2 linked regions of the Arabidopsis thaliana genome follow. The protein of the gene in region 1 interacts with the protein of each later gene in a pairwise test. Each region holds a gene or a part of one and is shown in the gene's direction. Other genes may lie near its edges. The genes, in order: IRX15 and UMAMIT27.

The links.
Region 2: the proteins of IRX15 (region 1) and UMAMIT27 interact in a protein complementation assay, tested with the Arabidopsis thaliana proteins (one large-scale study listed by BioGRID).

What each region holds. Positions count from the first base shown.
Region 1 is NC_003074.8:18,616,836-18,623,210, reverse strand, and holds IRX15 (IRREGULAR XYLEM protein (DUF579)), read left to right. Parts: upstream 1-4,394; 5' UTR 4,395-4,570; coding exon 4,571-5,539; 3' UTR 5,540-5,787; downstream 5,788-6,375. Other genes in the region: AT3G50230 (Leucine-rich repeat protein kinase family protein), read right to left, coding at 11-579, 1,199-2,648. UniProt on the Arabidopsis thaliana protein: Required for xylan biosynthesis, but not directly involved in catalyzing the addition of sugars to the growing polymer.
Region 2 is NC_003070.9:3,843,940-3,862,495, forward strand, and holds UMAMIT27 (nodulin MtN21 /EamA-like transporter family protein), read left to right. Parts: upstream 1-9,244; 5' UTR 9,245-9,377; coding exon 9,378-9,580; intron 9,581-9,818; coding exon 9,819-9,881; exon of another isoform or gene 9,882-10,055; coding exon 10,056-10,172; intron 10,173-10,402; coding exon 10,403-10,802; intron 10,803-10,930; coding exon 10,931-11,082; coding exon of another isoform or gene 11,083-11,107; exon of another isoform or gene 11,108-11,196; coding exon 11,197-11,320; 3' UTR 11,321-11,568; downstream 11,569-18,556. Other genes in the region: AT1G11410 (S-locus lectin protein kinase family protein), read left to right, coding at 19-345; DUF2 (agenet domain protein (DOMAIN OF UNKNOWN FUNCTION 724 2)), read right to left, coding at 642-1,327, 1,452-1,536, 1,604-1,723, 1,813-1,899, 2,005-2,406, 2,499-2,933; MORF9 (plastid developmental protein DAG), read left to right, coding at 3,334-3,695, 4,472-4,569, 4,667-4,732, 4,827-4,999; AT1G11440 (uncharacterized protein), read left to right, coding at 5,479-6,570; UMAMIT26 (nodulin MtN21 /EamA-like transporter family protein), read left to right, coding at 13,066-13,268, 13,431-13,493, 13,656-13,772, 14,283-14,685, 14,977-15,128, 15,254-15,329; AT1G11470 (Pentatricopeptide repeat (PPR) superfamily protein), read right to left, coding at 15,935-16,180, 16,288-16,349, 16,439-16,583.

The sequences.
Region 1 (6,375 bases):
ACATACTTGATCAGAGGAATTTTTCGTTCTCTTCAGTCATCACAACACTCCCCTTAATCTCTTGAATCATTTTGATCACTTCTTTCATAGTGGGCCTTTGCTCTGGCGATGTTACACGGCAAAGACAAGCCGTTTGAGTCATCATCTCTAGCCCATTCTCTTCCTTTGACCTTTCTTCTTCTTGCCTCATTGCTCTTACCCAATCCAACATATCGTTTGGCTCCATAATCGGTTGCCTCGAAGCGGTTTTACCGGTCAATAGCTCTAAGAGGAAGACCCCGAACGAGTAAACATCGCATTTCGACGTGGGACGACTATCTGTTGATTTCCTTATCTCTGGTGCTTTATAGGAAGAGATGTCCGGGTCATTGGGAGGAACAGATGAGTCTGTTAAGACACTTAAACAATAATCTGTGACACAAGCTTCAAAGTCGTGACCAAGGAGGATGTTAGTGGACTTAAGGTTTCCATGGAATTTGGCTGATGATTGGTGAATGTAATGTAATGCTTGAGCTACATCTTCTGCTATCTTCAAACATGATGTCCAATGTAATGGCTTTGCCTTTGATGTTCTCGAACCTGGATTTTATGAAAACGTAATTGAGAGATCAAGGGATAAAACAGAGTCATTAGTTAGTCTATTCATATCAATAACCACAAGATAAAAAAGAAAAGACTCTTTTACTATGATGATTCAGATGATAAGTTTAGTAATGGATGTTTGTTTATATACACTTCCAATCATAAACGAGTAATATGCAACCAAGAAGCCACTCTAGCTCAAGTCCTAAGACAAAACACACCAAATTCCTGACAAATGACTAGAGTTTCACGTGAAAATAGCACAGATTCCTAACAGATTCTCTGTCTTATATCTACAGTTGTTCAACAAAGAAAAAGACAAAACATATTTTAATCATAAACTCCGTCATTGTCTCTATGTGGTCAAGTCTAGAGTTCCTTCAAAATAATAAAAGCTGCACCAAAACCCATCAACGAGACAAAGGTTTCAGCTTTATAATGGAGACAATGGTCTCTATCATAGTATCACCTCAATATGATCGAGACCAACATAATAATTACTTAATTAACTAGACCTAAAAAAGCAACAACTCTTACGTGACTCAGTGACTTCAACTAAAACCCTAACGTTCCCAAGAGAAAAAGAAACAGAGGAGAAGAAGATGAAGAACATTACCATGAATAAGATTGAAGAGACTTCCATTAGGTTGGTACTCATAGATGACAAGTCTCTCTCCATTTGACTGGAAATAAGCTTTAACCGGAACAAGATTCGGATGCTTAAGTCCACCAACTATCTCCATCTGATTCTCAAACTCTAAATCACTAGTAATCGCTGTTTTCGACGGAGCAAATCTCTTCACCGTCACGATCATTTGATTAACCATCACCGCTTTATACGTTGTACCTACTGATCCTCTTCCTAAAAGCTCTGCTGAAGCTCTCATCAACTGGTCAACTGTGTACATTGCTTCTCCTCCTCCTCCTCCTTCGCCGCAGAATATCAAATCTCCGTTTCTTGGGATTCGCTTTTTCGACGACGGCGCAGTGGTTTGAAATTGGATCTTGATTTCTTTGTTTTCTTCTTCTCGCTTAGGTTGCGTAATTATCACGTCATCGTAGTCTTCTCTCCGGTTTTTTATAAACAACGAGAACACGACGAGGCAGAGACCTAGAACTATCAAAGAAGCGAGACCAATGGTGAAACCAAGAACTAACCAACCGTTTTTAACCTTTTTAACCACCGGTGGAACAATCATCGCTGCTTCACCGTTCTGTTCACTTTGAATAACCGGTGCTTCAGACGAAGAAGCAGAAGATGTTGATGACGTGGTGTTTGGTTTAGGTGAACCAAAGAACGGAGAAGAAGAATGTAAACCGCAAGATCGGTTAATGATCTCACCGCAGAGTCCAGGGTTTGACGAAAACGAAGACGCGTTGAATCGTAACAGAGTCTTTGTTAACGGAACTAAACCGGTGAGGTTGTTACTGGAAACGTTAAATGAAATCAGAGAAGAAAGATTTAACGGCGGGAGAGTTCCGTTAAGTCGATTAAACTCGAGATTTAAAGAACTGAGTCGACTCAGAGCATTGATCCCCGACGGAATCTCACCGGAGAAGTTGTTAAACGATAGATCAAGTTCTGTTAACCGACGAAGAGAGAGAATTGAAGAAGAAAGAGTACCGGAGAAACCATTCTTGCTTAGGGTTAGGGTTTTGAGATTGACGAGAGGAGATAGATCAGGAATCGAACCCGAGATTGAGTTATTCTCAAGGCTAAGAACACGAAGCTGATCAAGACGACTAAGAGTCTCCGGTGAGAAACTTCCCCGGAGACCAACACCGTCGAGGATAAGACGAACGACGCGATCTTGAGAGCAATCGACGCCGCGCCATTGACAGTAGTCGTAAGGCTCGGTGAGAGAGTATAGAAGCTTGTTGTCGAGATCAGCGGTGGATTTGAAGGAGAGAAGTGCGACGGCGTCGGATGGTAAGAAGGAGTCGAAGTAGTTCGTCGCCGGGAGAGAGGCGGTGGAGATACGGAGGAGGAGGAGAAGGAAGAGAAGAGAGTAGAAGAAGAAGAGTGTCATTTTGTGTGTGTGTTTTTGTGTTACGGAGCAGAGCATCTAGCTGTGTCAGTTATTATTCTGAAAAGTTTTGAAATATGTTTAATCTTGTGGCACGCGTGTGTATGTATATTATGTGTTGGATGATTTTTTTATGATATTATGAAATGAACTCGATTTTAGTGAATTATATACATAAAAGAACTCAAAAGATTAAGAAACGATCGGCCCTTAATGTGTATTTCGAAACCGTCCATGTGTAACGTGTTCATATGATATGATTTGTTGTGGTAGACAATATAACATATAAGACTATAAGTAGACAATGACAAGATGAAAATAAACACGAACACGAGATAGAAGCATAGCTTGTTTTGCAAATTATACCTAACAAAATTGGATCGTAGTTGTATAAATTTTGTATTGGTACAAAGAAAATGACATCGTACGTTCACATTTGTTCTTCTCCACGCATTAATATCACATTTGTTCTTTCTCAACGCATTAATATCATCTCTTAACCATCGGCATACAAAATAATATTTATGCGATTACATTTATCGGAGGGGTAGCATTGGGCTTGGCAAGTGGCAAGGTGTTTTGGGTTTTGACCTCAAAATTTTGAATGGGCCAAACCTTGTTTTTTTTTTCTCAACAGAATAAGCGACATTTAATAATTGGGTTCTTATTAACGTCTTTCATGAGGACCACCAATACTCCAGTAGGGTAAGCACTTTAGCCCAAAGGCAAACATGGTGAGGAGAATCAAAATGGAGCTTATCAATAAAGTGATTAGGAACAAAAGAGAAAGAAAAAAAAAAATTAGATTGATTATCATCGCAATTGTTAGATTTTCATTTGTTGTAAGTTGTAACTAAAAGATGACCAATAATAGTATTTATTCAAATAAATTTGGATTCACTTGATTAGAATTGTGGTAGAAAGTATAATTTTCCCCTTGATAATTATTATACAAACTAATATATGTTTTATTTTGTCTTAAAGTAATAAGGGATTATGAACTAACTCCTTTTTTTAATTCCCCTGCAACTTGTAATACGTATTCTTCGGAGTTTGTTTTTCCTCAAAATTTACGAACATAAGTTATATAATGTATACTTATCAATGTCCCAATCCAATGGGTAGTCAAAGACAGCGAAATGATTTTTAATTGTTATTTTATATAAAATAATAAATTGTTTTCATGTTTAATCTGTGCGTGTGTGTATCTCGTTGTTTTGGTCTGTTTCCTTAAGAACTAAACCAAAGCAATAAGGGATAGAGACTTTTGGTCTGTAATTAGATCTTGTGTCTCTCGCAATGACCAAAACTCTCCTACTTAGACATACAACAACCTCCTCACACATCATCGTTTATATATTTTAATATCTTTTTTACATAAACTATTGCAGCTAATTTCTGTTTTCAAAATATCAAGCTATACTTTTGGTTTGTTTCACAAAGCTATACACTCTTTGGGGAAAAACTAGTGTATAATGAATTACAATTAAATCCATAAATAGCGAATTAGCGATGGACGTCAAACCAAGTTGTTTCCAGCTTACTAACTTAATCATAATCGAGTAATTAAGAACCTAAAGAAAATTGAATTTTAAAGTTTCCACCATTCCATTTTGATACGTTGCGTTTATATAAATATAACAAATAATTCAAGAAAAAATGGATTCCCAAATAAACACTTCTTTAAAAAAATAAAAGAAATTAACTTCCAAGATTTTAACTTCTAGAACGTTAGTAAAAAATAGTACATCACAATGTTTTATTCATTGCTCTATTAGGTTAACACAAAATTTTGCTTATAGCTCACATTTCGTAAAACAGCTCACTACTTACTTCCTTTTAAATCAACCCTCATTTTTATCCCTTTGAGAAATCTTATAACCATCCTTCAATCTCCTTCTTCCTCTAAAACTCTTCTAAAGAAGAAAACAGAGGAACGAGAAGAAGAAGAAGAGTGAACAATGAAGAACGGATCAGGGAACACGAACACAAAACTAATCCTTCTTCATCCTTACATCCAAAAACAAACGAGCACGACTCGTTTATGGCTTCTCGCTTTCGTCTCTTTCTTCACCATAGTTTTTCTCCTCACTCTTCTCTACACTAGAGACACAATCCCTTCCAAAAACACCTCCGTCGCCGCAGCCGTAGCTGCAGTCGTCACCGGAGGATCCACACCTTCAGCATCATCTCCCATCTCCAACTCCAACTTACCAACTAGTGCAATCAACGCTTTGCTTCACTACGCGTCAAGATCCAACGATAGTTTCCACATGTCTTACGGAGAGATGAAATCAATCTCTGACGTCCTCCGCCGCTGCGCTCCACCGTGTAATCTTCTCGTTTTCGGACTCACACACGAGACTCTCCTTTGGAAGTCGTTAAACCACAACGGTAGAACAGTGTTCATCGAGGAGAATCGTTACTACGCGGCTTACTTCGAAGAAATCCACCCGGAGATCGACGTTTTCGACGTTCAATACACGACAAAAGCTCACGAAGCTGGAGAGCTCGTCACCGCGGCTAAAGAAGCCGCGGGAAACGAGTGTCGTCCTGTGCAAAATCTTCTCTTCTCAGATTGTAAATTAGGTCTCAATGATTTGCCTAATCATGTCTACGATGTTGATTGGGATGTAATCTTTGTGGACGGGCCACGTGGCGATGCTCACGAAGGACCGGGGAGGATGTCGTCGATTTTCACGGCGGCGGTTCTTGCTCGGAGCAAAAAGGGCGGGACTCCGAAGACGCATGTGTTTGTGCATGACTATTATAGAGACGTTGAGAGGCTTTGTGGTGATGAGTTCTTGTGCCGAGAGAATCTTGTTGAGTCTAATGATTTGCTTGCACACTACGTGTTGGATAAGATGGATAAAAACAGCACAAAGTTTTGCAATGGTCGTAAGAAACGTTCGGTTTCGTCTTTGTCTTAAAAGTGATGCCAGAAGACTTCATACGTACATTTGCTTATTGTAAGAAATAAAGTTTTTTCCTTGAAGTTTTGCTTTTTGTGCTGGTGTAAATTTTCGATCTTGGATTTATTGAAGACTTTAATTTAATCTCTTTTTTTTTTTTTTTTTTTTCTCAAAGGCCAAAGCAATCAATTTGATGAAACATCTAGGGATATATATAACCAAATGTAAACTGAACTTTTGAACCAAAATCAATATTTTATTCATTCAAGCTGAACACTAAAACAAAATATCTCAAAACTAAAATGCTTTTATGTGTGTGAATAATTATTTATTATTTAGTTTTTTATATAAAATGATGATCGGAAGCATTTTCGTTTTTCATATATATTTTGTTTTCCTTGGCTATAGTTAAGATACGATTTTTTGTTATTCATGATACACCTATTCTAAAATAAATCTTTTTTTTAGTTAAAATTAACGAAATAGAATGTGTAAGATTGAATTAAAAAATAATAATATTAAATTAACTAGAAAAAGTGTGTTGAATACGATTTAGAACTAACATATCATAGATTAAAATAGCATTTATTTCTTGCACCTTCTGTTTACACGGGTTTTATCTAGTTACACTGTTACAATAGAAATTAAAGTTCATTACAAAATTTTGAAACATTAATATTAATAAGTTTCCTTTTTAAGCAAAATTAAACTGAAAAACTTAAGAGAAAAATCGAGCGTTTTTTTTTAGTCCATTTTGATAATTGTTTTTCAAAACCCAAAACTTCAAATCTCGATCCCTAAATTATTTTTCCATTAAATACAAAAAGAGCAATCGAAAGATTCAATGATCTTGA
Region 2 (18,556 bases), on another chromosome or scaffold:
TGTTTCTTCGTCTTGTAGATTTGGGATCGATGGGAAAATGGTGAAGCTATAGAGATCATAGACAAATTAATGGGTGAAGAGACGTATGATGAGGGCGAAGTAATGAAGTGCTTACACATTGGGTTACTTTGCGTGCAAGAAAACTCTTCAGACAGACCAGACATGTCCTCTGTTGTCTTCATGTTAGGTCATAACGCCATTGATCTTCCATCTCCGAAGCATCCTGCATTTACGGCGGGAAGGAGGAGAAACACCAAAACTGGCGGCAGCTCAGATAATTGGCCCAGCGGAGAAACCAGCAGTACTATTAACGACGTTACTCTCACCGATGTTCAAGGTCGTTAAGAAGTGTATTCCTCTTCTTTATAATCTAAGAAGACTATAGGTATCAATTTATAGTAATACTTGTTATATAGAAAATTATGTGTTTAAAGCGTATGCAAACTTATTTGTATAAAGTTTACAAATACCTAATGAAAAGAAAAGTTAGCCTCATTATACAGGGGATTACATGGTTAGCTTCATTTCTTCTCTACATAACCCGACTTTTATCAACCACTAACCAACCATATTAATAATGATCTCATAAAAATCTTTAAATCAACTTAGAAAGTGCTCACCATAGGTTTGTTTTTCTTAACTTACCAAGGAGCCGACAAAATTGTCTCAAACTCAAACTCCACATCTTCAAGCTCTACATTGAGATCTTTTGCACATGACTCCATCTGACATATCTTTTTCCAGGCTGCATCTTTCTGTTCTTTTTCTGCTTCCTTTTGTTCTTTTAGAGCAGCTTCTTGCCTCTGCAGCTCGATAATCTTGTGTTTCACCTCAAGAATCTTTTGTTCCATGTCATCAAACTCTTGTTTAGCCTTGCTAAATTCATTTGTCATCTCCTTGTCAAAACCTTTTAGTTCCTCCATTATATATAGTTGTCTATCTTTGAGTGCTAACAGCTTGTCGATCCGTGATAATGGAGTTGTAACATTGAAGCCATGTTTCTCGAGCTCCGAAAATGAATCTTTAAGGCTATTTAGTTGGCTTACAGGAACGTCGGCTTCAAGATCTTTAAATTTCTCCAGTAACCCAAAATAAGTCACCATCATACCTATTGCATACCCTTCACGGAAATCTTGCTTAGTCTCAAACAATGGGCTGAAATGAAGACTGTGTGATACACTTTTGAAGACCTCCAGTGATTCATAAGTCTTCCAGACCGGTGACTTCTTTGCAAAAGGCAAAACCATTATTGTGTGTTTTGCATGGTTTTCCTCAGCATTAGAAGCAGAATTCTTCACCACATTGGGGGTCCGATCCGAGGATAACACTGGACAGATGAACGCATACACAACACAATGAGAAAATAAAGGCTTATCTACCAGTAATAGTACAATGAGACCATTGCAAGCGGGTCCTACATTCCAGAATGTGCAATGAGAGTTAAGACATACCAGTCTTATTGATGTATGAATTGAGCTTTAGACCTCCTCTTTTCCTCTTTCGAGTATAATATTTGATCTTAGGCTCCTCAGGCATCTGTGCATAGAAGTGTTAAACCAAAAGGAGAGCCATCTCAAAGATAAATAACAATCATAAACAATACCTTCTCTCGAGTTGACTCATTTCCAAAGCCATTCTTCATTGGCACAGGGGATACCTTTCCTTGGGTTTTGTTCTTTGTTGCAGTTACCCCCAGGGTTATAGGTAAACCAGATTCTTTTTTCTGGAAAACAAAGACCATAGAACAATTTCAGGGCGTAGAAAACAAACAAGGTTATAAAAGAATCCACTAGCAGGGTTATGACCATATACCACATCATCAGCCATCTCATTTCCCGGTGGTTCCTTTGTCTGCACATTTCTGTTGCCGTCTAAAGAAGTTTCTTTCTGGCGTTTTGGCTGAAAATGGAAATAACATAACAACACTTCAATTAATCCTCAAAGATGTCACACTAATTAAACCAAACCAACACAATGTTGCCTGCAACTAGTGATACAATTTACCTTTGTTCTTTTATGCCAAACTCCATCTTCCCACTCCATTGGAGGCCTAATATCAGAGTGATTAAATTGCGATGCCTCCTTTGTTGCCCCGAAACTTACCATGTACCTTCCCTCAAAGACAATTCCCCTGACCACACCTTGACGCCATTCAAAACCACTAAACGCCTCTACATGATCCAGCAATTCATACTTTCCAACAGATAAAGGAGGCTGCATAGGCCTTAGTCTTAGGGAATCAACAATTAAATTTTTCGATTCCCGGCAGCTATAGGACTTATTCCAGTACTTGACAAGAAACCTCTTGTCCTTCTCCAACTCCTTAATGACAATTACCGGAATCCAAGCACAATCAAATCTCAATTCCACCATTGTCCCGCAACTAAAAACAGACTTGACCAATTCCTTCAAAGACAAAAAACAAACATACAACAACGGATAAAGTTAACAACTTTTTCATGCAAAGGCGAAACGATTTCAAAAAAAACTCATCATACCTTATTATCAGGTCGGATCCATTTGAAGCCGGTCCAATCAAGATGAACCCTCAATTTCTTTTTCTCAAACTGAATAATGTCTGGTGGGCAATCGAAGTAAACCAAAAACTTCTCATCCTCCATTGTTTTTACCACCACACCAGTCCACCACCCATCTTTGAGATAAGCGTCGACCATCAAGCCTTCTACAAAAACGACGCCGTCGTTCACATCCTCCGACGGGACAGGACGAATGAACCTCTGATCGACGAATTCCGTTAAAGGAGCCAAACGGTGTTCATTGAGCTGCGTCAAGTAACGAACTTTAAGCTTATTGTGTCCTGATTTCGTTGGATTATCTTCCAGAATCGCTCTGTAATAAGACCCTTTTAACTCTTCTTCTTCAGAAAAAACTTCTACTTTGTCGTCTTTTCTAATGAATATCATCTGCTCCATCTCAAAAACCCTTGAATGAAAACTAATAACGGCTCATTTTTGCTCTGCTAACCCTAAATCTAAAAAAAGACTTTTCTGCTGAAACCCGAAAACCATAGATATGATTATATGAAGGAGACTTTTTGCAACCAAAACACAGTGCTACTGTGTCTGTGCTTAGTGTCGATATTCACGATACACATCGGGGAAAGTGTGTTTTCTTTTTTTCTTTCCCAATTTACTTTTCTTTTTTTTTGGCGCTTGAAATTATGAGAAAATGATTTAAGAAATTATCAGGCCCAAACTATCTAATGGGCCTAATTAAAAACGGTGTCGTTTCATAGGATCCTCATCACGAAGCAGGTAAGTAAAAATATATCTTATCTTCTCCAAAACTCTCTCTTCGATTTCAGCAATTGCAATGGCTTCCTTCACAACAACTTCTTCTTCCTCGCTTCTCCTCAAAACTCTTCTCCCCGTAAGCCACCTGAATCGTTTCTCTACACTCTCTGGTATCCGCGTTGGCGATTCATGGACTCCTCTGCTCCGGAACATCTCCACCGCTGGGTCTCGGCGTCGAGTGGCGATTGTGAAAGCTGCGACGGTGGATTCGGATTACTCGTCGAAACGGAGCAATAGCAATGAGCAGAGAGAGACGATTATGCTTCCTGGTTGCGATTACAATCATTGGCTCATTGTAATGGAGTTTCCTAAAGATCCAGCGCCAAGTAGGGATCAGATGATTGATACTTACCTTAACACTCTTGCTACTGTTCTTGGCAGGTTCGTTTTCGCTTTCTTATTGATTCTCTTCGTTGTTGAATTAGTTAACTAATAGACGACATTTACTTGTGTTGCTAATGGACTTGTCCTTTGATTGAATCCAATGTTGCGTATAGGAAGATTTGGTTTTTTGTTAGATTAGGGTTTTTGATGATACTTTAGGGTAAGGGTTTAGTGAGCTGAGTAAAGCTTTCAGCTTTAAATTTGCTCTGAAGTTGACCTAGTTCCAGAATTTGTTCTTAATATCAGGTGTAATCTTTAGCTGACTTGTTTTTCGTCTCTTGATATGTGCAAACTTATTGAACATTGCTGCATATTGAACACAAAACATTGGTGTCTGATTTGATATCTAAAACTTTGTGCTCTTTAGCGTAATTATGAATGAAATTAGGGGGAAGAATAGAAGCATCTATTTTTGCATATTTTCTTCAAGCTATGTATAAATTGTAGGTGATTGTGCATGGTTTCTGTTTGTTAAAAACTTGATGTGGACAGTGTAAGCTAGTAATGTATGTAAAAGGAGTGTACAATTGTGCAGAGCATTAGATTGGGACTCCTGACTAGAAATTTCTTGGTATGGCAGGGAACGAGTTTGTGTTACACAACTAATGACTAAAACTTTAGTTTATTTGGTGCTACTCTCTATTTTAGAGAACTTTGATTCCGGTTTACACTATCCTGCTGATGTGATAACCAATTAATGTACTTGTGTCCATTTTCCAGCATAACCAGTTCATCGTGTTTGCTTATTATATGTACTTGTGTCTATTTTCCAGCATGGAAGAGGCGAAGAAGAACATGTATGCATTCAGTACCACGACATATACTGGATTCCAATGCACCATCGACGAAGAAACATCTGAGAAGTTCAAGGGTTAGTTAGTGAGCAAGAAGAGCCTTAGTCCCCTTATTGAAAGTTCGTCGAAAACCTTCAAGATACTGATCGTTCTGTCTTTTCATTATTTTCACAGGTTTGCCTGGAGTTCTCTGGGTCTTGCCTGACTCCTACATAGATGTCAAGAACAAAGACTATGGAGGTAACCCATCAAAGCCTGATTTTAAACTTTCTAGGATCTCTCTCTCTCCCAGTATCCATGTTCTGATAATTGAATCGTTCTTTCTCGGGTTTAGGCGACAAGTACATCAATGGAGAGATTATCCCGTGCACATACCCAACATACCAACCAAAGCAGCGCAATAACACTAAGTATCAAAGTAAGAGATACGAAAGAAAAAGAGACGGTCCTCCACCTCCTGAACAGAGGAAACCAAGACAAGAACCAGCAGCCTCTGATTCCTCTTAAACTATAATAAGATAATGGAGTGTTTGCAAGTTTTGATCTTTTGGTTAGCACTTAGCTTGTTGAAGTCGTGTGTAAAATCGTCTAGTACCAAATGATGATACTGTATCATCACACCTTGAACAATAGCTATTGTTATGTTAGGATGAAATTCAACTTGAACCATTTGTTTATTTAGGTAATGTTCGGTTTTGGTTTGGTTTGATTCTTTGTCAACCACTGCTTTTTCCCCACGTTTTCTCAACACCAATTTCAGACAAGACAAAACAATTGTAGGGTCACACACTCGTCACCAACTCACCATCTACATCAGTCGTCCCTACCTTATCAACACATCACATGGAAATAATACACTACTCTCTCACGGACTTGGAACCAAACATTCCAAATTAGTTTAATCGACAGATCACTGCTCAGCTGAATCGTTTTCTCTCATCAACCGCAGAGAAAGACTTTCAAGATCATCCTTCAAGCTCTCTCAAATGGCCAACTTCTATGAGAATTACCAGAGTCCTTACGATTACAATCAGGTTAATAATCTCTACGATCAAAATCATTATCATTACAATCAACAGCAGCAGCAGCTTGGTTTCGAACCAATGAGTTATAATTATTACAACTGGAATGAATCTGAATCTGAATCTGAATATGTTGCTTACTCTGGTTATGATGATCCAATGAGTTATAATTGTTATAACTGGAATGGATCCGAGTCTGAGACAACCTCTGCATATGTTGCTTACTCTGTTTCTACCATGTCTGAGCCTAAACACTTGTTCTATGATCCGAATCTCTATACAACCTACGAATCTCCTCCTCAGTTTAGTATCTATTGCTCTGTAGCCTCTGCTCTTGACTTCAACGAGCCGGAATTCGATGAATACGATCCCACGCCGTACGGTGGTGGCTACGATGTTGTTGCAACCTATGGAAAACCTCTTCCTCCATCGGTGGAAACTTGTTACCCTTGTTCAACCGCTCCTCACGCTAAAGCTCCCTCTCCTCCTGAGATTATTGCTCCTGTTCCTCTTGGAATTTATGATGGTGGTCAAAAGAATGTTGTCAAGAAACGTGTGTCTTTTGCTGAACCGGTAGAAGAAGTCAAACCAATAGAAACCATTAAAGAGCAAGAACAAGAACAAGACGAAGATTATGATGAAGAAAGTGAGGACGAAGATGATGGTGATGATGATGATGAAGAAGAAGAAGAAGGGGATGAGGAAGCTAAAGAAGAAGAAAAAGATCACAGTTCAAGCTATGGAAATGAGGAATATGAAGTCGTAGATAAAGGAGAAGTGAAAGCTTTGTATGTTCCGTCTGGTTACGGATTAGAAGCGACCGATCTCTGTGAGGTTATATTTGGAGGTTACTTTCCTTGTGTGTTACGTAACAAAAGACGTCAGGAAGATGAACAAGATCGTGGGGCTGCTGTTTCTTGCTGGGAAAGCAACGATTCTGATCCGTGGAAGACAACTTCCGATCACCTTTTCGGGGATTCATATCCGTACGGTTACGAGAATCGGAGCGAAAGAAATCAGTTCGAGGTCTCCTCTTATGGTTACCGGATGTATTAACAACCCTAGTTATCATCAGTTGTGTCAATGTGAGGTAAGAACAACATTCTTTTGATTATTGATGAACCTGATTTTTTAGTATCTGTTACACAAGAGATGAGATTTACTGTTGTATAACGAGGAGGGGTTACTTAATAATAAAACGTCGCACGCAAAATCTATCTTCAACCTTTCTATTTGTAACATTCTCTTTAACACGTTTGTTTAAAATCTAAAATCTTTAAATACTACACTCGATGTGATAATTGATTACTGTATCCATCGTAATTATTATTGGTATATATACATTTCTTTGTGAAAAACACCAAATAAATGAAAGAATTGTATCATGGTATATCTAATATCTATCACTGTGAGTACAAGTGCAGAAGAAATTGTAGAAGTAGAAAAGTCAACGATAAAGATGAATTAGCTGAAGTTGAAGAACACTCTAATAAGTAATAACAAACAATGAACACCATGGGGGTTCTTGATTATCTTAAATGAAAATTAGTACCCGATTCAAAAGAATATCATTTTTTTGTGTTTTTGGAAACTCTTTTGAGACGTTAACATGTTGACTAATAAATTATGTGTAAATATACTTTTTTGCAGAAATTATTTTTGTGGATGTATAACTTGTTTACCTGAGCATGTAAGTATATGGAATTTTCAAAACTGTACTACGTATAGACAATATGCAAATACAGAAAACAAAACAAAATACCGTATTTACACGCGATATTAATAAGGTTCAATGACATGCTACTTCTTAACTAAAACAAAATTTAAAATGATTGATGAAAGCTTTACATGTGCGTCATGGAGGCTTAACTTTGTTTTGAGACGTCTACTTCTTTTTTTTTATTCTTATCCCTTTCCAATTTAGTTATATGTAGTATAATCAGATTAATTCACCATATATAAAACCCTTTTTCAAAAAAAAATAAAAAAAATTATAAAAGTATAATAATTATTGAGCTGTTGGTTATACTGTTTTAATTTCATCGAATACTTTCTCTGTTTTGTTTTAAATGATGATCCAGAGAATTTTGTTTATCTTATTTCAAGTGATGTTTTCAAAAGTTTAAATATATTTGATTGTAACCATTTATATAATAGAATATGTTTTTTACTAGTTGAATTAGTTTTATTTTAACAATTTATATATATAAAATAAACAAAATATTTTTTTTATTATTTCTTAATTTATGTGAAAAACTTTAGATATGATTTAATATGAAAAGATAGAATATATTATATACCAATCTTGTAAATTTATTCTAGAACTAAGTCAAAACCACTAACTTTTCTTTTGTGACAACTTTTTTATAAAAAAAATTTAACATCATTAGAACCACTAACTCAATTGTTATTATATTTGGTGAATTGATCTAATTAGTAGAAGGAATATATATGTCTGCACTACTGGAGAGAAAATGCCCCGTCCATTATGTTCTAAGCCTTTTCTAGATAACTTACTGAATCTAAAAATAGCATCTGCTTTTTGTCCCTACAAAGTTATATGGACAAACTAAAGGAATGAAAGAGTTCGATATACCCAAATGGGGATAATATAATTTTTTCATCAACTTTAAAAGTTCAAATATAGAGCTAATTATACGCATTTATAATTAACAAAAACGAGATAGTGCAAAACAAGATGGATCCAATGAAAAGACAAAAGAGAATAATTAATGGATCGAATATAATTCAAAATGGGCACAAAACAAATTTGCACGCAAAAAGTTATTGAATGAGAGTTGCAAAATCTCATATAGTACTTATTTACTACATATGATTAGTTTATCTCGTTGAAAAGTTCGTGTTTTTTCCTATTTTGCACCAAATTCAACAAATCCTTGAGTCAGTCCAATTACAATTGAAAGTAAAGAACCCAAACTTGAACCTATACGACCAGACGGAGACGGGCATGCAAGTGTTTAAGTGTCATTAGATTACAAATGTTTAAGTGTCATTAGATTACACGAAGTATAGATTTAGATATACCAACTAGCTCGGGTTTGCATGACTTATTTTTTCTCACTAAACTCAGTTACATCATCTCTCCGACTCTCTTTTATGAAAATCATTTTGCTAATTAATAAGGTGCGCGGCAGATAACACGCATGATAAAGCCAATGTATCGGTTTCTCATTTACTCATATAACGTATAAAATGGAAAAGCTAATTCATCGGCGCCTCATGAAACGTGTGATAAAGCCAATGTATCGGTTCTCATTTCTACTATATAATAAATAAATAAATATAACAGTAAATATACACATATTGACCGGAAAAAAAAAAGATTGTTACCGCATGAGCAGTTATATTTGTGACGACTTCTTAAACTTAAGTATCCTACTAATTTTGTTCTTTCATTAGTTAATAATATGCTCGGGTTTGTAGTAGTGCTTTGTTCTTCACAAACGCTTATCCTATATAAAAAGAAAGTTTTTTTAGACCAGAAAAGTAAATAAAATTAAGCTAGTTGTGTGTAGGAACATTCAACTTGTTCAAATATTTGAACTATTTTGTAATTTATAATTTTACATAATGTGGAACAAGATTCTAATATTATTTAAATTGAACTTGACAGCACTAAGTTTTTTATTTATTTATTTTTGATAGAAAGACCACTAAGTTAATATAATAGAGCAATAATTCAGGGGTTTTTTCTATTAAAATGACAGAACCCAAACACAGTACTCTTTCTTATAAGTTATAAATATGGGAAGGGTGGTTGCCAAACTCAAAGTACTTTGGGTCTTAACTCTTTCTAACACACAAACTCACATAGAATTCAAGAAAGAGAGAACGAGGGAGAGATGGGTGAGGATATGCGAGGAGTGAAAGTAGTCTCAAAATGGCCACCGATGATAGTTATGGTGACATCACAAGTAGCGATGGGTTCGGTGAATGCACTTGTGAAGAAAGCTCTTGATGTTGGTGTGAACCATATGATCATTGGTGCTTATCGAATGGCTATTTCCTCTTTCATTCTGGTTCCTATCGCCTATTTTTTGGAAAGGTTTATTGATATTTTGATGAAAATAGTTGAGTTATATATTTTTCTTATGCAAAATTTTCAAAAATTTGATTATATCAAAATAGTTTTTTCATATTTACATAATTAACAACATTTACTACAATTGAAGATTGTCAGAATGCTCTATTATAACATGTAAATAAACACCACTACATGTTACTAATATATGAAGTAGATTGATATTTTCTTTCCCCTAAAGTTTATGTCTTATTGTTAACAGGAAAATAATACCGAAAATAACGTTTAGGCTAATGGTCGATCATTTCATCAGTGGTTTGCTCGGGTTTGTCTTCTCACAATTTCTTATGTTCTTTTGTCGTCCATTTTCCATTTTCCTTTTCCATTATACATTGATTGTTTCCACAGAAGAAAGATTTTCTTTCAAGTGAGCATAAAATCTTCATAAGCTAGCTAAATTGTTTTTAATCTTAGCTTAGTTTTGGGTTTAAATTTGCAGGGCGAGTTTGATGCAATTTTTCTATTTGCTTGGTCTGTCCTACACGTCAGCAACTGTTGCGTGTGCTTTGGTAAGCTTGATGCCTGCAATCACCTTTGCTTTCGCTCTTATTTTGAGGTAATTATGGAACCATCTAACTTCTTTATCATTAAAATAAGTACTGTATTTACTATTACTATGCAATGGGTTCATGCAGGATTTATTCGTATTTGTTATGTATACAGTGCATATAATTTCTTTTGTTTTTTCATCAAGCATATTATACTTCTATATATAGAAATACTCAAAAGAACCTTACTCATAAATTATCTCAAATTTATCATCTAAAAGGTTATATTACTTTTCAGAACTGAGAAGATAAAAGATCTAAAGACCCAAGCAGGAATGATAAAAGTGATGGGAACTCTAATATGTATAAGTGGAGCTTTGTTCTTAACATTTTACAAAGGCCCTCATATATCAAACTCTCACTCTCACCTAGAGGCTCTTCCTCACAACAACAGCGATCACAACACCAAGAATTGGCTTCTTGGATGTCTCTACTTAGTCATAGGAATCGTGTTGCTATCTCTATGGATATTGTTTCAAGGGACTTTAAGCATCAAGTATCCTTGCAAATTCTCAAGCACTTGTCTCATGTCAATTTTCGCAGCTTTTCAATGTGCTCTATTGAGTCTTTACAAGAGTAGAGACCTTAAACATTGGATCATCGACGATGGATTTGTGATTGGTGTCATAATATATGCTGTAAGTTATAATACTATATTATCAGAAATCTTAACATTTTTATAAATTATAATGTAGTATATATGTAAATAATTAAATAAATTTTGGGGTTTACCTAATATTACCTTATTACTATACACGTATTATAGGGAGTGATAGGACAAGCAATGTCGACTGTAGCAGCGACATGGGGAATAAACAGATTAGGAGCTGTTTTCGCATCAGCAATTATGCCAGTTTCTCTCATATCGGCTACTCTATTCGATTTCCTTATCTTACACACTCCTTTATACCTCGGAAGGTGCTCTCTTCGATCATCTCTATGAAATTTTTTGTATAGCTTTATAGATGTTAATGTATTAGGTTCATGCTCGTATTACTAATTACAATTTATTTTGTAACTTTTGCTATACAGTGTGATTGGATCAGTAGGGACAATAATAGGTCTCTACGTGTTCTTGTGGGGTAAGAACAAAGAAACGGAAGCAGACATAACTACATTGTCTTCTCGGATGAACAACGAAGATCAACGAGTCTAGGTCGCCCATTTAATCAAATAATATTGTTGTCATAGAAAGATTCATATGGCTTCATTGTCGTAAATTAGTATTTACTACTGAATACATTTACCGTAAAGACCAGTCATAAATATTTAGATTTAAATTGTGCAAGCACACTCACGTTAAAGACCAGTCATAAATATTCAGATTCAAATTGTGCAAGCAGTTTGTATAATTCATACTTTTCGTTTGCAGATTTATAATTTCGTAAAGAGATAACAAAACAGATTTGTTATAATATTCAAAACTAACCAATATAAAGCATATATGATATATCAAAACATTTCACAACAGATCTGTTAAAAGAGCCTCGTAATATTGTTTTTAGTTTCAAAAGCTCTGTTTCTTGGATTATTTTCGTGCTGATTTTAAATGTGTTGCGTTTTGAGTTTGTAGCCTGTTGCTAAAACAGTAAGAATTTAAGGTCTAGAAAAAATAAAGACCAATTGTAATTAGTACTACTGTATATATATTATGCACTACTGGAGTGAAAATGCCCCGTCCATTTTTTCTAAGCCTTACCTTAATCTAGAATAGCATCTGCTTTTTGTCCCTACAAAGTTCGACGGACAAAATAAAGGAAGGCAAAATTTCGATACCCATATTGGGGAGAAACAACTATATACTAATACAGTATAATTTTTTTCATTAACTTCTATATTGAAATGTATAACAATTATTATGTGCATTATAAATAACAAAAACGAGGTACTGCATGGATCCAGTGAAAGGACAGAGCGTAAAAGGGATCGAATCCAAATTGGGAACAATAAAATGGAGAATTATTGAATGAGAGTTGCAAAAATCTCATATAATTATGATAACTTTTTCCCATCATATCGAATCAGAATTCAATATGACGTGGTCATCGTAGATGGGGAATTCAGTATAATACTTTAGTGTTTATGTGTCATTAGATTACACTAAGTATAGATTATACCGACACTGTTTTACTTCATTTGCATGACACGGGTGATAACGCCAATGTATTGGTGTCTCATATAACGTATAGAATGGAAAGCTAAGGTATCGGTGTCTCATGGAACGTGTGATAAAAGCCAATGTATCGGTGTCTCATGCATTTCTACTAAATATAAAAGTAAAAATAATACAGTAAAGGCAATCGTCATGTATATATCGCAACACTGACCTGAAAAATAAATAAAAAATATTTTACCGCAGTAATTATATTTGCGACAACTTCTTAAACTTAAAGCTAACGATTTAATCCATTACTCAATAAGAATATGCTCGGGTTTGTGCTTTGTTCCCTCCTCACAAACACTTATCTTATATAAAATAAAGTTTATTTTTTAGATTAGTCTTAACCAGAACAACAAAAAAATATATACAAATTAATTAGCTAGTTGTGTGGGTGGGAACATTCAAACTATTTAAATATTTTGACAAAAAAAAATTTTATTATTTTTTTTTACTTTTCACACATAATGCGGAACAAGATTCTAATATTATTTAAAATGAACTCGAGTAGACACCACTAAGTTTTTTTGTAAAAAATGTTTTTGATAGAAAGACAACTAAGTTAATACAACAATTCTTCAACTCAGGGTCTTTTCTATTAGAATTAGAGAACCCATACACACATGTTTCTTATATATATAGAGGAAGGTTTGTGGTTGCCAAACTCAAAGCACATTGGGTTTCAATTCTTTTTAACGCACATACACCAAATGACATAGAAAGAAAGAGAGGACGAGAGAGGGATGGGTGAGGATATGCGAGTAGTGAAAGTAGAATCAAAATGGCCACCGATAATAGTAATGGTAATATCACAAGTAGCAATGGGTTCGGTGAATGCACTTGTGAAGAAAGCTCTTGATGTTGGTGTGAACCATATGATCATTGGTGCTTATCGAATTGCTATTTCCTCTTTCATTCTGGCTCCTATCGCCTATATTTTGGAAAGGTTTGATTTTTTTGATGAAATAGTAAGTTATTTACTTTTTTGGCGAATATTGTGAGAATGCTCTACTTTAACATGAAATAAATATAAACTAGTATTTGTTACTAATATATGAAGTTTAATTATTGACATTTTTTCCTAAAATTTACGTCTTATTGTTAACAGGGAAATAATACCGGAAATAACGTTTAGGCTAATGGTCGATCATTTCATCAGTGGATTGCTCGGGTTTGTCTTCTCAACTCAACATAATATTTGATTATGTTCTTTTGTCGTCCATTTTCAATTTCCTTTCCACATAGGAATTATTTTCTCTCAAGTAGCATAAAATTCATCATAAGCTTTTTTTTTTTTTTTAATTCTAGCTTAGTTTTGGGTTTAAATTTGCAGGGCGAGTTTGATGCAATTTTTCTATTTGCTTGGTCTGTCTTACACGTCAGCAACTGTTGCGTGTGCTTTGGTAAGCTTGATGCCTGCAATCACCTTTGCTTTCGCTCTTATTTTGAGGTAATTATGGAACCATCTAACTTCTTTATCATTAAAATAAGTACTGTATTTACTATTACTATGCAATGGGTTCATGCAGGATTTATTCGTATTTGTTATGTATACAGTGCATATAATTTCTTTTGTTTTTTCATCAAGCATATTATACTTCTATATATAGAAATACTCAAAAGAACCTTACTCATAAATTATCTATATAATGGGTCCGTGTAATTACTATCTTATGCATACAATATATACACATATAAAATTTCTTTAATTTTTTCATCAAAGATAATACTTTTATAGTAATACTCAACAGCATCTTACATATTTTTCATGTTTAATATTTGGAATGAGCCAAATAGGCCTTGGATACTATAAATATATTTATAGCATCCACACGTAAATTATTGGATTTAAGTCGATTTAAACTCCTATTTTCTCCTGTTTTTTTTTTTTTGTTTTGTAACGTAAGGACAAAAACATTTACTGTGTTAAATTATCATATAAAATTACATATCTTTTCAGGACTGAAAAGATAAAAAGTCTAAGAACCCAAGCAGGAATGATAAAAGTGATGGGAACTATTATATGTATAAGTGGAGCTTTGTTCTTAACATTTTACAAAGGCCCTCATATATCAAACTCTCACTCTCACCAAGAGGCTCTTCCTCACAACAACAACAGCGATCACAACACAAAGAATTGGCTTCTTGGATGTCTCTACTTAACCATAGGAACCGTGTTGATATCTCTATGGATTTTGTTTCAAGGGACTTTAAGCATCAAGTACCCTTGCAAATTCTCAAGCACTTGTCTCATGTCAATTTTCGCAGCTTTTCAATGTGCTCTATTGAGTCTTTACAAGAGTAGAGATGTTAAAGATTGGATCATCGATGATAGATTTGTGATCGGTGTCATCGTATATGCTGTAAGTTCTAGTGTTATATCTTCATAAATCTGAATATTTATAAATTACAGATTTTATATGTAAAAACTTAAATAAATAAATAAATTTTGGGAATTACCTTTATATTAATCAAATTAAAGTAGCAACTTTCGGTATCTTCAGATGAAAATTCTCTGTTTCAATAACCACTACAAATTTAACTAGTAATGTTTTTCTTTAGTCTCTGTTATACAAATAATTACTAGACAATCTCATGCATGTTATCAAAAAAATTGAATACTATAACTTGGATAAACAACTCTTACCTTATAGGGAGTGATAGGACAAGCAATGTCGACGGTATCAGTGACATGGGGGGTGAAGAAATTAGGAGCTGTTTTCGTATCAGCAATTATGCCAATAGCTCTCATTTCGGCTAGTCTATTCGATTTCATAATCTTACACACTCCTTTATACCTCGGAAGGTACTCTCTTCTATCATCTCAATGAAATTAAATTCGTTTCTAAATAGCTTTATATATGTAAATGTATGTAGGTCCACGATCATAACACTAATTAAAAAATTTATTTTCTAACTTTTGCTACACAGTCTGATTGGATCAGTAGGGACAATAACAGGTCTCTACGTGTTCTTGTGGGGTAAGAACAAAGATATGGAAGCATAACTACATTGTCTTCTCTAATGAATAACGAAGACCAAAATTAAATATTAGTGTCGTATTATTGTTCTTAGTTTCAAAACCTCTGTTTCTTGGATTTTTTTTTTTTTTTGTGTGTGTGTTGCTTTTAAATGTATCAATGTGTTGCTAAAACAGTCTGAAAGGGTAATTTTATGTGATATGGACTGTAATTTTTCGAAAAGTTCACAAGTGCCATTGGTAAATGATATATAAACTAATAACATCGAGAGGCGCACTATATGAAAAATGGAGGAAGCCATGCCATGAAAGAACGTCGATGCATTCAAAATGAGATTTGAAATTCCTAATTAAAGTTAAGACCAGTTGTATTAGTGTTATGCAGAGTAGTATATTATTCTACTTGGATTAATTCACAGTAAAGAAGAGATATACATAATTCAAAGGCTTATTGTTATTTCAAAGCAAAACATGAAGAGGTCACCCAGTTAAGAAGAGATACATAATAAATTCAGAGGCTTATAACATGAAAAGGTATTCGACAATAGATGAAATGAAAAGAGAAGACAAAGAGTACATAAGAAAGCGCGCACACACAGACACAGACACAGACCAAATTAATAGTTAATCATTCACTTGGGAGGGCGAGTAGCGTGAACTATCCCGTTTTCCTTTAACAGCTTAGTCTCCAACTTCACGAGAGACACGAAAGCAGGCCAATTCTCGGTACGATTGTGCATTTGGTCGCAGTTTGGGTCTACTTTCTTCAAGTAGGAGTGAGCAGCAGCTATGCCGATAGTGTTACCAATGATATCCACAAAGAGTGCAACCTCAGAGGTAGAGAAACTCATCTCCTTTCTATGCATCCACATAAAGATCTAACAACAACCAAAAAAACAAACTTTCATAAATCCTAACACAATGATCTCTAACTAGAAAAGAAATAGAGCGATGAATACAAAAGTTAGATAGATGAGAAAGATACCTGGAGAGCATCTACATGTTTGCCTTCCATGTAAGCTGCTTTGCCGAGCTGACGAGATCCGCCTGGGTGACGGGAACACCCTTCTTCTCTTCCTCCGCGATGATGAATTCTAAGGTCTCTCGGGTAAGAGACCTCAGCTTCTTGAAAATACCACTCTTTGCATTCTCAGCATCACAAGAGGAAGCAGAAGAAGAAGCTCCGTTGATCTGCCTGTTCCCTTTGTTCTCAGCAGAAGAAGAAAACGGAGCCGTTCTCGCGATCTTAATCTCAGCAGAAGAAGAAGAAAACGGAGCCATTGTTCTCGTAAGCGTAGAGATCTTCATCTCTCTTTTCCATAGATGAAGAGAACCTGATGATACCATTCGGCGCAAGGCCAACATTTTCCAAACCCTAATTTTGATAACCCTAATTCTCTAATATATAAAACAATCAAGTTGCCTTGTTAAAATCAGGATATGATCTCTCTTATATTAGTAGGTTACTTACACAATTACCTACATCTTTGTCGATTTGTCAGTTTGACTTATGAATCAGTCTACTAGATTGTAAAAATAAATAAAACGATGAAATGTCTATAATACCCCTAACTCTACACACGTGTGAACTTTTTGAATAGTACTGGACCCGGGTCAACCACACACAGTAGACACGAGCCTTCTTCTTCTTCTCTAAGCGAGTGAAGTAAGCTTACCAGTGGCAGTGAGTGAGCTCTTACCAGTGTTTAGGGTCTTCTGCAATTTTCCTTGTTTTGATCGGGAGCTTGATCAAGACTACTGATGCTGAGATTTACGAAAATTGCCAACGGTCTCTATGTTCCCGGTGACAGTGAAGCTCTTTACGCTTCCAAGTTTCAAGACTCCACTGCTACTTTGACTTCGCCTATCTCGCTGGTACAAGGTCTGTGGAGGTTACAGTATGGGTGATAACCTTTTCCTTCTGCGAGGAAAGCATTGTCTCGGCTTTTACTTTTGTTCATAACTTGTGGATATTGGATAGTAAAGCCTACCACTAATGGCATAACATTCAGGATGCTTCTTGGTGTGCTATGATTTGTTATAAGCGAATCACTCTCGTTGGCTAAACACTTTGAGAAAATGACTCTTAAAATGCTCTCTTGGGCTATACTGGAAACTTGCTGTGTTCAGTGGATCTTCAGGTCCTTGTTGACAACCATTAACAAGCTTAAGGTAAGAATAAAGAAACCAACAATACTTTCAGTCCTTTGATGATTTATAATTCCATAACAGACTAAGGGCAGTGCATATAGATATCTTTCGTACTCATCTGCTTTTTCTGGTCTCCATCACAAAAGCCAACTAGGTAATCATATCAATCTCTCTTTACCGTTTACTCGACCTTTTCCAATCAGGTGCTTCTGGTGTGTCTACTACTATCAGTTTTAGGTCTTTGTATACCTGATCTTATCTGCTACTGAGGCTTGTAAAAGTGATTAAAACTGTGACATTTACTCTAAGAGAAGTAACCTGTTTGATGCATTTCCCTAATATACCGGTGTGGAAAAGTGTAGGTATCTGTACTCAGCTGAAATGGTGGACGATTTTGAAGAAGATGAACTCTCATTGACTGAAAGCGGGTTGAAGAGTGAAGATGGCGTTATTATCGAGATGAATGTCTCCTGGATGCTTTTATTATCATGTTTGGGAATTTACCAAGGGAGAGGTATCAGAATCTATCTTAGAAGGTTACATTTAGCTCAAGCTTGCATCAACATCTTTACTTAGAGCTCTACGGGTTTTAGTGTGTTTGAAGTTTCTTAACTCCTAGTATAATTAGAATCTTCTGCAGCAGACTTTAGAGTTTTGGGATGTAGAGCTAACCAGAGTCGGTTTGTTTAAACTAGAATCTTTTTATGTAGCAGACTTGTTCAGTACCTGAATACCAGTTTTAAATTACCGTCAGATGTTGATCTTGTTGGTAATAATGGAGAAACGGAAGAATAATTAGACGAAACAAACTCTTTAAGAACGTATCTTTCAGTTTTCCATCACAAATTTTCTTACAAGCTACAAAAATCGAACTATATATAACTGAACCGAATTTAAACCGGAGGGAGGGTTTGACTTTGGTCAATCACATTTCCAATGATACCGTCGTTTGGTTTGGGGAAGCCTCGTCGTACAAATACGACGTCGTTTAAGGAAAGCCCTCCTTAACCCCAGTTATAAGCTCAAAGTTGTACTTGACCTTTTTAAAGAAGCACGAAACGAAAAACCCTAAAATTCCCAAGCAGAGAAAGAGAGACAGAGCA